Linked DNA regions of Macaca mulatta. The protein of the gene in region 2 interacts with the protein of the main gene of each other region in a pairwise test. Links are inferred from orthologs where the notes say so. Each region holds a gene or a part of one and is shown on either strand. Other genes may lie near its edges.

The links. The genes of interacting proteins can lie anywhere in the genome.
Region 1: the proteins of AP1M1 (region 2) and ENTR1 interact in binary tests that used the Homo sapiens proteins (3 or more experiments, as listed by UniProt). The two-hybrid records come from large-scale screens. The link is inferred for Macaca mulatta from reciprocal best matches to the Homo sapiens genes AP1M1 and ENTR1.

Annotation. Positions count from the first base shown.
Region 1 is NC_133420.1:6,091,398-6,097,578, forward strand, and holds the start of ENTR1 (endosome-associated-trafficking regulator 1), read left to right. Parts: upstream 1-2,162; 5' UTR 2,163-2,323; coding exon 2,324-2,393; intron 2,394-2,481; coding exon 2,482-2,631; intron 2,632-3,667; coding exon 3,668-3,736; intron 3,737-5,118; coding exon 5,119-5,231; intron 5,232-5,501; coding exon 5,502-5,918; intron 5,919-6,181. Other genes in the region: PMPCA (mitochondrial-processing peptidase subunit alpha), read right to left, coding at 168-247, 538-740, 1,993-2,063. UniProt on the Homo sapiens protein: Endosome-associated protein that plays a role in membrane receptor sorting, cytokinesis and ciliogenesis. Involved in the endosome-to-plasma membrane trafficking and recycling of SNX27-retromer-dependent cargo proteins, such as GLUT1.
Region 2 is NC_133424.1:16,684,851-16,690,931, forward strand, and holds part of AP1M1 (AP-1 complex subunit mu-1), read left to right. Parts: intron 1-51; coding exon of another isoform or gene 52-79; coding exon 80-236; intron 237-1,923; exon of another isoform or gene 1,924-2,435; intron 2,436-2,614; exon of another isoform or gene 2,615-2,634; coding exon of another isoform or gene 2,635-2,662; coding exon 2,663-2,730; intron 2,731-4,303; coding exon 4,304-4,434; intron 4,435-5,307; coding exon 5,308-5,455; intron 5,456-6,081. UniProt on the Homo sapiens protein: Subunit of clathrin-associated adaptor protein complex 1 that plays a role in protein sorting in the trans-Golgi network (TGN) and endosomes.

The sequences.
Region 1 (6,181 bases), on a different chromosome or scaffold from region 2:
ACTTTTGCTTTTAACACTACGTACAAAAATTATCTATTAACTTAAAAGTCTTTTATTAGCATTAACTTAGCAACTTAATAATTTATGAAAATAACCATTATAGAGAAGAAAAATCTCAAACATCCTTCAAAAGTATAGTCTAAAAAATTACAAAACTGGGCACTGACCGAAAATGCCAATTTTTCCAAAAAGTGAGCAATTCCACTAAGATATTTTGCTTCATATCTTGATCCTGAATTAATAAGAACTAGTAGGAAAAAGAAAATTGACAGGTTAAATCAGATATTCAAAATAAAATTTAATCAAGAGAAACATTTTAAAATTTCAATATGACATGATAATCAGATTTAACTATATGAGAGTGATTGTGCTGATGGTTTCACAGGTATATATGTAGGTCAACATTCATGAAATTGTATACTTTGCTTCCACTCAGGGTACAATTCGTAATTGGCATGCTAACTACAACTAACAGTCAACTAAAGCACGTGCATGTTAAAAATGCGGGACCACCCACAGCACCACAACAGTACTTACTTCCTACTGTACAAAACTGTCCAAACTTATTCTGAGATGCTACGTGAAGCCCATTATCCAATGTGGTTACTTTGGTTTCAAACTTTTCCTGTCCATCAACTGAAGCAAAAACAGGCTTGGGTACTCCAGGTAAAGGAGAAGAGAGGGGGATGTTGGGATAGGCACCACCACTACTAAACCGTCTGTACGCAGAAGGTCCAAACCTAAAACAGAGAAAGCGGCCCAGTTGCAACAGGCTTGAGACAACGAACCTGTGATGACCTCTTAAGTGCAGTTAGTTATGTTTTGTCTGGGTTAAAAGTAAGTATCTGCCTTTCTAAAGTACTTATTTCTATAGACTTTGGAAGACAAAGCAAAGGCTGACCACAAAGGCTCAGCCACAGGACCTGGAGCAAGCTGGTTCCATCCTTTGGGTCTTCGTGCTATTTCTGTAAAACAGGGCTTATTAACAGTAACCCACTCGAAATGCAGTTTGTACACATAAAGCACTTAACGGCTCTGCCCTCCAACAGTATCACTGAAGTCTTAGAAGCCATACCCCTTATTAACCTGGTCCGAAGGTGGGGTGTGACTTGGTCTCTATCTCCCTCTCCAAACTCATCTCTTGAACCCCCACAGCCCCATAGGTCCTGGTCACACTGATTATTCTGTCAATTCCTGGAACACATTTGATTCATTCCAAAGCTTCTTCACCCCCAAAGCTTCTTTGCCCTTTGCCCATGCCTACCCCTTCTTTCATTCTTCAGCTCTTCCCTTAAATGTCACCCTGATGGAGAACTATCCCTCATCACTCTAGTCTTTCCTGTTATTTCCTATCACGAAAGGCTGCTTGTTTACTCCAAAGCATTTACGCGATTGCCGATATTTTGTTCACGCTCCAGTCTGTATCCATCTCCTGGAGGCAGCACCTCCGCACCCCTGAAACAGCGCTCGTTGTGTGGGGAGGGGCGATGCCTGTGCTGTCGGAACAAAGTTCCAGCGTGGGGAAAGGCAGGCCCGGTCACTTGGGCGGGAGGGGCGGTGGGGACGGAAAGGGTTCTTAAACGTCAGAGATCAACGGACGCTCGAGCGCATCAACCGAGAGCCTGGACCCTCGTGTCAGAACCCTGCGGGTCTAACAGAGCTGGGGCCCCACCGGCTCAGCCTCCTGAGGGAGCACGCGGCAAAAGCACAGGGGCAGCGATGAAGCATGGCCTCGGACAAGGCCCGTCGACCCGGGAGGTGAAGGGGGGGAGAGGACCCAGCAGCCGGGGAGAGAGACAGATAGGACTGCATCCCCGGGCTTGAGGCGCAAGGCAAGGCAGGGCCCCCGTCGCCTCGGGGACCACACCAGTGTCCCGAAGTGCGAGCCCGTCGAACGGGCGCCATGTCGCCTGTAGAAACCAAAGACGGAGCGTCCAGAAAGACTCAAGCCGCCCCGGTCCCAGGCTGAAGCCTGGTTCGCCTTTGGCTCACCTCAGCCGCGAGCCGCTCCAACAACCCGACCCCCGCAGCAACCGCGTCGCCACGAGCACCACAGCCGCCATCTTGCGTCTCCGCCCCTGCTTCTGTCGTCACTTCCGCTTCCGCCCGCGGATTCCCCGCCCCCTTGGGCGACAACCCGAGGCGTTCCGGCGCGCGCTTCCGGTGCTCGGAGCGGAAGCAGCGGCGAGAGGCTCGGAGGAGCGGGGACGGCCAAGCGGCAGGCGACGGGGGCGGGCGACACGGACCGCGGCCCGGGCGGAGCCGGGGCCATGGAGCCGCCGCTGCCGGGCTAGGCAGGTCCTGCCCCGCCTGGCCCGCGGCGATGTCGGGCTACCCGCGCCGCCCGGGCGCCACCCCGCTGTCCCGAGTCCGGAGCCTCGCCATTCCCGACGGTGAGCGGGGCAGGGGCCGAGTCCAGCGGTTCAGGTGGGCGGCGGCCGCCCCGGCGCGCAGTAAAGTCGCTGTTGTCGTTGCTTCCAGCTCCAGCGTTCTATGAGCGCCGGTCTTGTCTCCCCCAGCTAGACTGTGAGCGCCCCCATGGCAGGGACCTGGACTCCCCCTTCTTCGGCATTCGGCCGGCCTTTATGTGCTATGTGCCCAGCCCGGTGCTGGCTTCCGTGGGAGACACAGGTGAGAGACGAGGGCGCCGGCCCCGGGGACGCCTCCAGTTCCCGCGCCACCTGTGGCACCTCCGCTGCCGCAAGAGCTCGTCCATTGACCCAACAATGAGCACCGCGCTCACTGCGTGCCAGGCACTCGGAATTCAAAGGCGGAGTCCCCTGCTAGGAGCTCACAGTCTGGTTGTGGGGAGACCTCCCCCCAGACAGTTCCAGTTCAGGATGGGTAGTGCCCAGGGAGCACAGGAGCCGGCCCGCTTTCCTCGTGGGGCTGAAGTGGGGGGGCCTTCACCCCAGTGGGCGGTGATTGGAAACGGAGCTGGAGCATTCCATCTGCCTCCACAGCCGGGCAGCGGCCAGATCTGGTTCATCCTCGTTCTACCCGAGCAGAAGTGCTGCTGGGTGCCCGGGGTGTGCGGGAGTGTTTGTGTGGCGCTGCCAGGGTCTGAGGACATTCGGGGGGTGTCACAAGACAAGAGGACACGCTCGCTCCGACTGGGCTTCAAAACCTACTGAGGAACCCCTTTCAGACCACAGATACCAGGGCCAGTCTGTGTGAGTCAGGCCATCTCCAGGGTCACAAGTCCGGGAGCTCGTGTTTTTTAAAGTTCTCTTGGCCCACCGGGCGCGGTGGCTCACGCCTGGAATCCCAGCACTTTGGGAGGCCGAGGCAGGTGGATCACGAGGTCAGGAGATTGAGACCATCCTGGCTAACATGGTGAAACCCTGTCTCTACTAAAAGATACAAAAAATTAGCCGGGCGTGGTGGTGGGCACCTGTATGTCCAGCTACTGGGGAGGCTGAGGCAGGAGAATGTCGTGAACCTGGGAGGCGGAGCTTGCAGTGAGCTGAGATTGCGCCACTGCACTCCAGCCTGGGCAACAGAGTGAGACTCCGTCTCAAAAAAAAAAAAAAAAAAGGTTCTCTAGAGGTTCTCTAGGCTGTGAGAACCACTGCAGTGGAGACTCCATGTGCAACAAAACCAAAACACAAATGTGAGGTCATAAAGACTTCCTGCCGTCATGGTGGGTGACATTGTTTCTTTGCAGATTTTGGCTATGAAAAGGGGAAATATTCTAAGCAGAGCCCGTCAGGAGCCCACGAGACACATTTTGGAGGTAGAGTAGTTCAGTCACCTTTTCTTCTTGTCTCCATCCAACACAGTGCCAGGCACGTGTCTGGTGGCAGGACTGTCGATATGACGGGCTACATGGTGTATCTGGAGCCCAAAAGAGCAGGTGGGGGTGGGATTTCAAGGGTTCAGTCTTGACCCTAGAGTAGGAGCGAGGTGCAAGGGCAGAAGAACCTGGGTGAGGGAACGTCAGGGAGTGGGGAAGTCCCACCTCAGGGGCTGGGGCCACAGGAGCCGGCATTACATGGGGCTCGCAGCTGGGAGGGCCAAGCGTGGCTGCTTAAGTCCCCGGAGGGTGGGAAAGCGGTGAGAGGGAGAAGAGAAAGGTGGGCGTTAGCTAGGTTACCTAAGTAGGAAAGTCGGGAAGAGGGTCAAAGAGCGCCGGATCCCCAGTTTTGCAGCACCTGAGGAACTTGTCGTTGCTGCTGCTGTTTGTTTTTTTGAGACGGAGTCTCACTCTGTCGCCCAGGCTGCGATCTCAGCTCACGGCAAGCTCCGCCTCCCGGGTTCTTGCCATTCTCCTGCCTCAGCCTCCTGAGTAGCTGGGACTACAGGGGCCCGCCACCAGGCCCGGCTAATTTTTTGTATTTTTAGTAGAGATGGGTTATCACCGTGTTAGCCGGGATGGTCTCAATCTCCTGACTTCGTGATCCGCCCGCCTCGGCCTCCCACAGTGCTGGGAGTACAGGAGTGAGCCACCGTGCCCGATCACCTGAGGAGCTTTGAGAGCTCCCAGCACAGGTTGACTTCACACCAGGGAACTGGGTGTGTGCAGTGGAGTGGCCTGGGTCGTTTTAAAGCTCCCCAGGGGAGTTTTAGTGGGCAGCACAGTGTGGGAGCAGGGGCCGAGGGGTGGAAGGAGAAGATTTCAAATGCAGACGCACGTCCGTGTCACTGCCCACTTTCAGCCACCTTCACGCTTTTTTTTGAGAGGGAGTCTCGCTCAGTTGCCCAGGCGGGAGTGCAGTGGTGCGATCTTGGCTCACTGCAAGCTCCGCCTCCCGGGTTCACACCATTCTCCTGCCTCAGCCTCCGGAGTAGCTGGGACTACAGGCGCCCGCCGCCACACCCGGCTAATTTTTTGCATTTTTAGTAGAGACGGGGTTTCACCGTGTTAGCCAGGATGGTCTCGATCTCCTGACCTCATGATTCACCTGCCTCGGCCTCCCAAAGTGCTGGGATTACAGGCGTGAGCCACCGTGCCCGGCCTCCTTCACGCTTCTTAGTGCCACCTGAGTCATGGTAGAATGACGAGCGTGGCTACCCGATCTCACATGTGGCCATGCTCCGGAAAGACAGGTGAACAGGAAGGTTCCCTTTCAGCGCTCTTCAGTAGACTTTATGCATCTGTGACGTCTGTTATTTCAGATGACAAATTTGAAGATCTCGAAGAGGCAAATCCATTCTCCTTTAAAGAGTTTCTGAAGACCAAGAACCTCGGCCTGTCAAAAGAGGACCCGGCCAGCAGGATTTATGCAAAGGTAAATCCACGGCATTGTGGGTGATGGCTCCGCGGGACGTTTCTGTTCTGGCCTCTGCGGCTTCCTTTGGAGGAGATTGTGCACGAGTGTGGCAGGGCAGGACAGGCATCAGTGCTGGGGAGCAGCTCTGGGCCCAGAAGCTGCTGGGCTCCTTCCAGTAGATGAGATTGGGCCTTTCTTCGTGTTCCGAGGCAGAACAGAGAGAAAGGAAGATGCACTCTGAGTCAGAAGCATGGCCTCCACTGTTTTTTGTCTTTTTTTTTTTTTCAGGAAGCCTCGAGGCATTCACTGGGACTTGACCACAACTCCCCACCCTCCCAAACCGGGGGGTATGGCCTGGAGTATCAGCAGCCATTTTTTGAGGACCCGACAGGGGCCGGTGACCTCCTGGATGAGGAGGAGGATGAGGACACTGGATGGAGTGGGGCCTACCTGCCGTCCGCCATCGAGCAGACTCACCCCGAGCGGGTCCGTGCCGGCACATCGCCCTGCAGCACATACCTTTCCTTTTTCTCCACCCCGTCGGAGCTGGCAGGGCCTGAGTCTCTGCCCCCATGGGCATTGAGTGACACTGATTCTCGCGTGTCTCCGGCCTCTCCGGCAGGGAGTCCTAGCGCAGACTTTGCGGCTCATGGAGAGTCTCTGGGAGACAGGCACCTGCGGACGCTGCAGATAAGTTACGAAGCAGTAAGTGAGCCTTGCGACGCCCTCTGGCACAGCACCTGTCCGAGCAGCCTCTCCCAGGGAGAACCTAGAGCTACCCTGCCTCCTGGGTGGCCTGGTTTGATTTCCAGGACGAGACGACTTGCGTAACAGCCTGCTATCCACTTTCCCTTTGACTTTGCCTCTGGTTACACGTGTGAATAGAACCGGCTAAAGAGGACTGGTGAGCTAGAAGCTGTGAATTGGATGCAGTTGGGCACTTAAAGGGCTGTACCCTCAGGAAAGGC
Region 2 (6,081 bases):
GCATCTCACCCCCTGCCCCAAGCCCCTGGATTGTAGAATTGAAAATGCAAGCATCATTCCTCTTCCTTCCCCACCCCAGGTGCTCATCTGCCGGAACTACCGTGGCGACGTGGACATGTCGGAGGTGGAGCACTTCATGCCCATCCTGATGGAGAAGGAGGAGGAGGGGATGCTGTCACCCATCCTGGCCCACGGAGGGGTCCGTTTCATGTGGATCAAACACAACAACCTGTATCGTATCCCTTTACTGGGGCGGCTCCCAGGAGACTCCTGTGTGGGTGTTGGTGTGTGTGCACGTCCACACGCCTTCAGCCGGGACTGGTTTTTGCACAGCGGGAGCATTGGATACAGCCAAGCCCTCCCGGAGCTCCCTGCTGCCTGCAGAGACAGGCAGAGAATGCACGATGACACGCGTGATGGGTGTGGGGAGAGGAGCAGGTGTGACTTGAACTTCTTTGGCCCAGGGGCCCAGGAAGGGAAGTGACACCCTGGAGGAAGCCTGCAGGGAGGCCTGGCGTCTGCCAGCTGGAGGGGCAGGCAGGCACTAGGCGTGGGTGAAGGCTCTGCAAGGGAAAGGCTCATTCCAGCAGCTGCAATCAGGGTGGCTGGAGCCCTCGAGAGGGGGCGTGTGGCAGCAGTGAGGCCGGAGTGGTCAGCGGGGTCTGGGGTCTCAAAGAACATCATCTGAAATGTGACAGGAAGTCTTTGGAGGCTTTTAGATGTGCATCTTCTGGAGGTTTCTGGCTGCTGAGTGGGGCAAGACTGTGGGGACAGGAGAGGACATGGGTAGGTGAGGAGTAGGCTGGGGCCATCGTGCAGGTGGGAGGGAAGTGGCCTGGACCACGGAGGGGTGGTAGGGTACAGAGAAGGGGAGAGACTTCTCACAGCCCCACCCAGATCTCAGAGTCCCCCACCCTTCCTGTCCTTGGGCCCATGGGGAGACTTGGCCAAGCCAGTTTCTATCCAGGAGGTCTAACTGGCCACCCCACGGCTTTGGGCAGACCTGCAGGCCCATCTCAGTACCCACACTACTGCGGAAGGGCCTGCTTTGCAGCCACAGCCTGGTTTGAGCCCCAGCTCCAGCAGCCATGGGGCTGGAGGCGAATCCCTCACCTTCCCACAGTTTGGTGGGAACAACGACCCCTCGCTGCAGGACCATTCGGGTCAGTTGAGCTGACTTGTGCACATTGCTCCCAGCAGCATGGGCTCTCTGCCCTTTCCTGTGTTCTTGGAGACACTTGGGGCCTTGCCAGTAGTACAGTGTGGCCAATGGGCCAGAACATCCCCTGGGAGCCCTTTGGAAATGCAGAATCCCGGGCTCCACCCAGCCCTGCCCTGTCAGAATCTGCATTGTAGGAAGATCTGTTCCTGGTGACTCGTGTGCACATTCCCATGTGGGCCGTGCTGGTCCACGGCTCCCTGTGGTGCGCCTCTGTGTGTATTTCACCTGGTTCTGGAAGGCCCTGAGAATAGCTCTGAAGATGATCTTAGGTGGCTTTTAACCCAGGGAGCTGACAGTCCTCTGAAGCCGCCCAGGTATTGACAGGAGGGTGAGGTGGCTGTGGTCCGAGCTCAGCAGGAGCCGTCAGATCAGTTTCTGGTTGGGCCCCCACATTTCACACCTGGGCTCACCCCTCTGGCTGAGTGGACATCCTTTCACCCCCAGCCGGGACAGTTCTCAGCAAGGCCGTGGCTGAATGGCACCCATGAAGCTGAGAGGCACCCCTGCCCCTGCTTATAAAGCATCTGGGGAGGGCACATTGCCAGGCAGCAGGAGGGAGGCCAGCGCTCGTTTGACTGGGCCAGCGTCCCTTTCCTGGGGCCCTGTGCTGTGCTGGGGTGAGGCGGGAAGAGAGGATGCAGCCCCCGCCCTCCCTCCTAGAGCTCACCTCTGGGCAGACAAGCCAGGCGGCACAGACATGCTGTGAACAGGGATGTCCGGGGTGCAGTGCGTGGGCCTACAGAGGAAGAACCAGCCTTCTCTGGGGGCCCATTAGGGAAAAAGGAACAGGAAGCGCCCAGCACACACTGACCCTGGGCGGCAGGGGCTGGCTCCCGTGGCAGAAGGGAGCATCTGTGCCAGACATCTCACGTACATTGCCTTGGTGAGTTCATTCACAGGCCCCCATTACACAGGAGAGAAATATTGAGGTTTCTCTAGAAAGGTTTATTTCATGGGCCAAGGCTTGTGTTACCAAAGACAGGAAGGGCTGAAGCCAGAATTGGCCCTGGCTACTTGCCGCAGAGTCTGGCCAGGGGACCCTGGACCTCATCAGGGTCATGACGAGGTGTCGGCTTTGGAGGAGCAGGGCCAGTGTGTCCTGCTTTCTGCTCCTCGAATGAGCCTCACTCCCTCCCTGCTCAGGGCAACTCCTCACCCAGCCACTGGGACAGGTGCCCTGTGCCACCTGCCATCCCTGTGATTCTCTATGTCGGTGAGTGCTCCCTGGGGCCTGGGAGCATGTCCTTCTGGTGACTCCTGTGTCCCAGGTGTAGCTTGGACCAGGAGCTTGGTAGCCGACCATGGGCCAGGTAAACGGCTGGGAGTGGGGGTAGGGAAGGCTCTGAGGGTTGTGAGGGTTAGAGGGTCCCTCCATGAACCGGGATCTTCCAGGCAGCAGCCCCAGCCTCTGAATGCTCCTTAACTGTGACCACCGTGCAGTGGTTGCCACATCCAAGAAGAATGCGTGCGTGTCGCTGGTCTTCTCCTTCCTCTATAAGGTGGTGCAGGTGAGTCTCGCTCAGCGGGGCTGTGGGCTTGAGTGGCAGCTGTCTTGGCTCTGCTTGTGGATCTCCCCATACCCGGCCACCTTAGAGACAGCCGTGGCCTCCCTAGAGAGTGCTGGGGCTGGAACCCCAGGAAGTGGCAAAGGGGAGCCCCAAACCCCGCCACCATGCCTGTGGAATTCTGTAGCTCGTGTTGCTCCCTGACCCCGGGGAAGAAAGGAAAGTGAACAGGAAAAGGTGGGGCTGAGCAGTGGTGCCCTGACCCTGGAAGGGACAAGCAAGTCCCCCAGCCAGCTTTGGAAGGATATGGGGTGACCAGCTGATGGGGCTGGAATAACCAGCAGAGCTGCAGAGCTGAGCCAGCTTAGAATGTCCCAGGGGGCTCTCAAGGCACAGATGCCCGAGGCCCACCTTGGAGAGAGCTGACACGCCAGGCCCAGGCTGCCAGTGAGATGCAGACAGCAGCCAGGGCAAAGGTCCTGGGACAGGTGTGTGTGTGGTGCGGCCAGGGAGGCCGGCATGCCTTTGGCAGAGTATAAAGCTGAGGTCAGCTGGGAAGAGGGCAGGTTATACAGGAGTGTGGATTTTGTTCCACTTCTGATGAAAGGTGGTGGAGGGCTTTAAGCAGGAGACTGACGAGACATGGTTTGATCTAAAGCAGCCTCTCTGGCTGCTGAGCAGAAGGAGGACTTGAAGGCAGCCTGGAAGCCAGTGAGGAGGCTGCTGCTGGCTTCCTGGAGAGGATGAGCCTGGCCGGGGCGGGCTCTGGGGCTCAAGAAAGTGGGGAATAGGACCCAGGAGGCCTGTGCTGGGCCTGGGAAAGCTTTCATCCCTCACTGATGCCGCCTGTGCAGAATGTTGGGGAACAGGGGCAAGCCTGGGCGGTGAGGGCTTGGGGAAGGAGCTGAGGGTCATCTGGGAAGGCCCCGCGTGCAGGCCAAGGGCTGCTTCACTGGACCCGTGGTGCTGTCACAGGCAGGGCTGGGCCTGGCTATGACACCTGTGATTTCCAAGCAGGGGCCGGGCGATCACAGTCCTAAAGCGCATGGGGTCAGCAGATCAGAGGATGGGGGATGAGGGAAGGGGAAGGTCCTCACCCAAGGGTTGGGCAGTTCCTTTCTGCTTTAGTGACGCCCCTTCCTTCAGCATTCGTGCCTGCAAAAGTGCTTCTAACAGCCCCTCTTCTTTGGCGTCCCTTCCTTAACCTTCTGAGCTTTCCATTGAAATGGGGAAGATGGTAGCTCATCAGGTCCTCGCCTGAGTCACTCCAGACTCAGGAAGGGATGACAGTTACAGTTGCTCAGGAGGGGCTCCCTGCCTGGGGGTGTCTGGGCAGGGAAGAGAACGGGGACATCTGTAGCAGCTCCAGACTGGTCCCACCCCACAGCCAACCACTGCTGTCCTCCTGCCCCATTACCTGGGTCCAGGGCCTGTAGCACGCCACTGAGCCTGGGAAGTGGGCTGTTGGTAGGACTTAGTGGGCAAATGAATGTGTGCAAGCGTTCATTCATTCCTCATCTGTCTGCTCAACGATCTGCCTCTCGTCCCTCCCTCCCTCCCTCCCTCACCGCCACAGGTGTTTTCCGAGTACTTCAAGGAGCTGGAGGAGGAGAGCATCCGGGACAACTTTGTCATCATCTACGAGCTGCTGGATGAGCTCATGGACTTCGGCTACCCCCAGACCACCGACAGCAAGATCCTGCAGGAGTGAGTGGGCAAGGGTGGGGCCTGGGGCAAGGCCTGGGCAGTGTCATGATATTGATGTCATCAGGTGTGGAAACAGAAGGGGCAAATTTGTGTTTGTGTTGTCCCCCACCTGCCTTCCACCTCCAGCCGTATTCGGGTTTTTACTAAGTTGCTTAGTGGTTTTAATTCGTTTCCTCCTCTACACCCCCACATAACAGTGCTTTTCCTGCTCCTCATCTTTACTCTCCATCCGCACAGATGCCCTCAGTCCCTTGCTACTAAGGTAGCTCCTTTGTTTTTACTGTCATAAAATGAGACTTGATCGAAATCTCCCCTCTTTGGAATCCTGCCCTTCAGATAGTAAGCAACGTGAATTAAGTGCTTCCTGGGGGCCAGGCCCCAGCACTTCACATTCACTCGATTCATAGCCTCCCCATTTACCGTCTCCCCGTTTTACAGGGGGTCAAGCAAACAGACTCCCCGAGAAGCCTGTGTTCCTAACCACTGCACCTGCTGCTCCCTCAGCGGGATGGGGTCACCAGGTTACGCTCCGAGGTGGCAGTTCCATCCGCATGCTCAGCGGGGACGGGAAGCAGCTCCACCCAGTTCTTATTTTCCTCCCCAACATGGTCTTCTTGGCCCCCCCAAATGAGCACTTTAGACTCTATAACTTGAGTGTATTGGGTTTTAGAAATTGTGAAGATCTTCCTGAATGAAGCAGCCCCACGTGAAACCACAGGCTGCCTTTTCTGGAGCTGCTGAAATCCAGGGGCTGTTTTCAAGGTGGCCAGAACCTGCCCTGCACCCGCCCTGACCCTGCCGAAATATCAGGGCCAGAAGCTGTGGCGTTGGTGCAGGTGCCACCTGCTTCACTCTGAGCATGTGGCCCCACAGGTACATCACTCAGGAAGGCCACAAGCTGGAAACAGGGGCCCCGCGGCCCCCAGCCACCGTCACCAACGCGGTGTCCTGGCGGTCCGAAGGCATCAAGTATCGGAAGAACGAGGTGTTCCTGGACGTCATCGAGTCTGTCAACCTCTTGGTAGGCCTCCTTTCTTTCCTTCTTCTGTAGGGTTTTATCTCCTCCACGACAGAAATAAACACAGCATTTTTAAACTGGCAAAGCCCCAAGAGCCATTCTGTGTGGTAACAGATAGCAGGATTCCGTTTGGGCCACTCATTGAAATGTGAGTTTGTCTTATCTTTTTTTTGAGACCGAGTCTCATTCTGTTGCCCAGGCTGGAGTGCAGTGGTGCAGTCTCGGCTCACTGCAACCTCCGCCTCCCAGGTTCAGGCGATTCTCCTGCCTCAGCCTCCTGAGTAGCCGGGATTACAGGCGCCCACCACCATGCTCAGCTAAAGCTTGTTTTATCTTTATTAGCATTTATGCTGACTGAGAATCCATACATGCACATTATTTTTAAAAATTAGAAGCAGGATATGAGGTTAGAAAGTGAAGGACTCTTATCAGTCACCATGTACAGAAAAAAGAAAAAAAAAAGAAACCAAAGGGCTCCTATAATCAGAAAGATTAGGATTTATTCACCGCCAGCCTCTCGGGCCTCATTCTGTAGATAGACAGAAACAAGTATGTTGGTTTTTCTATAAACCTGAGATCATAAGATGTGGTTCTCCTGTAACTTATTTTTTTGTTGTCGTTTGGGTTTT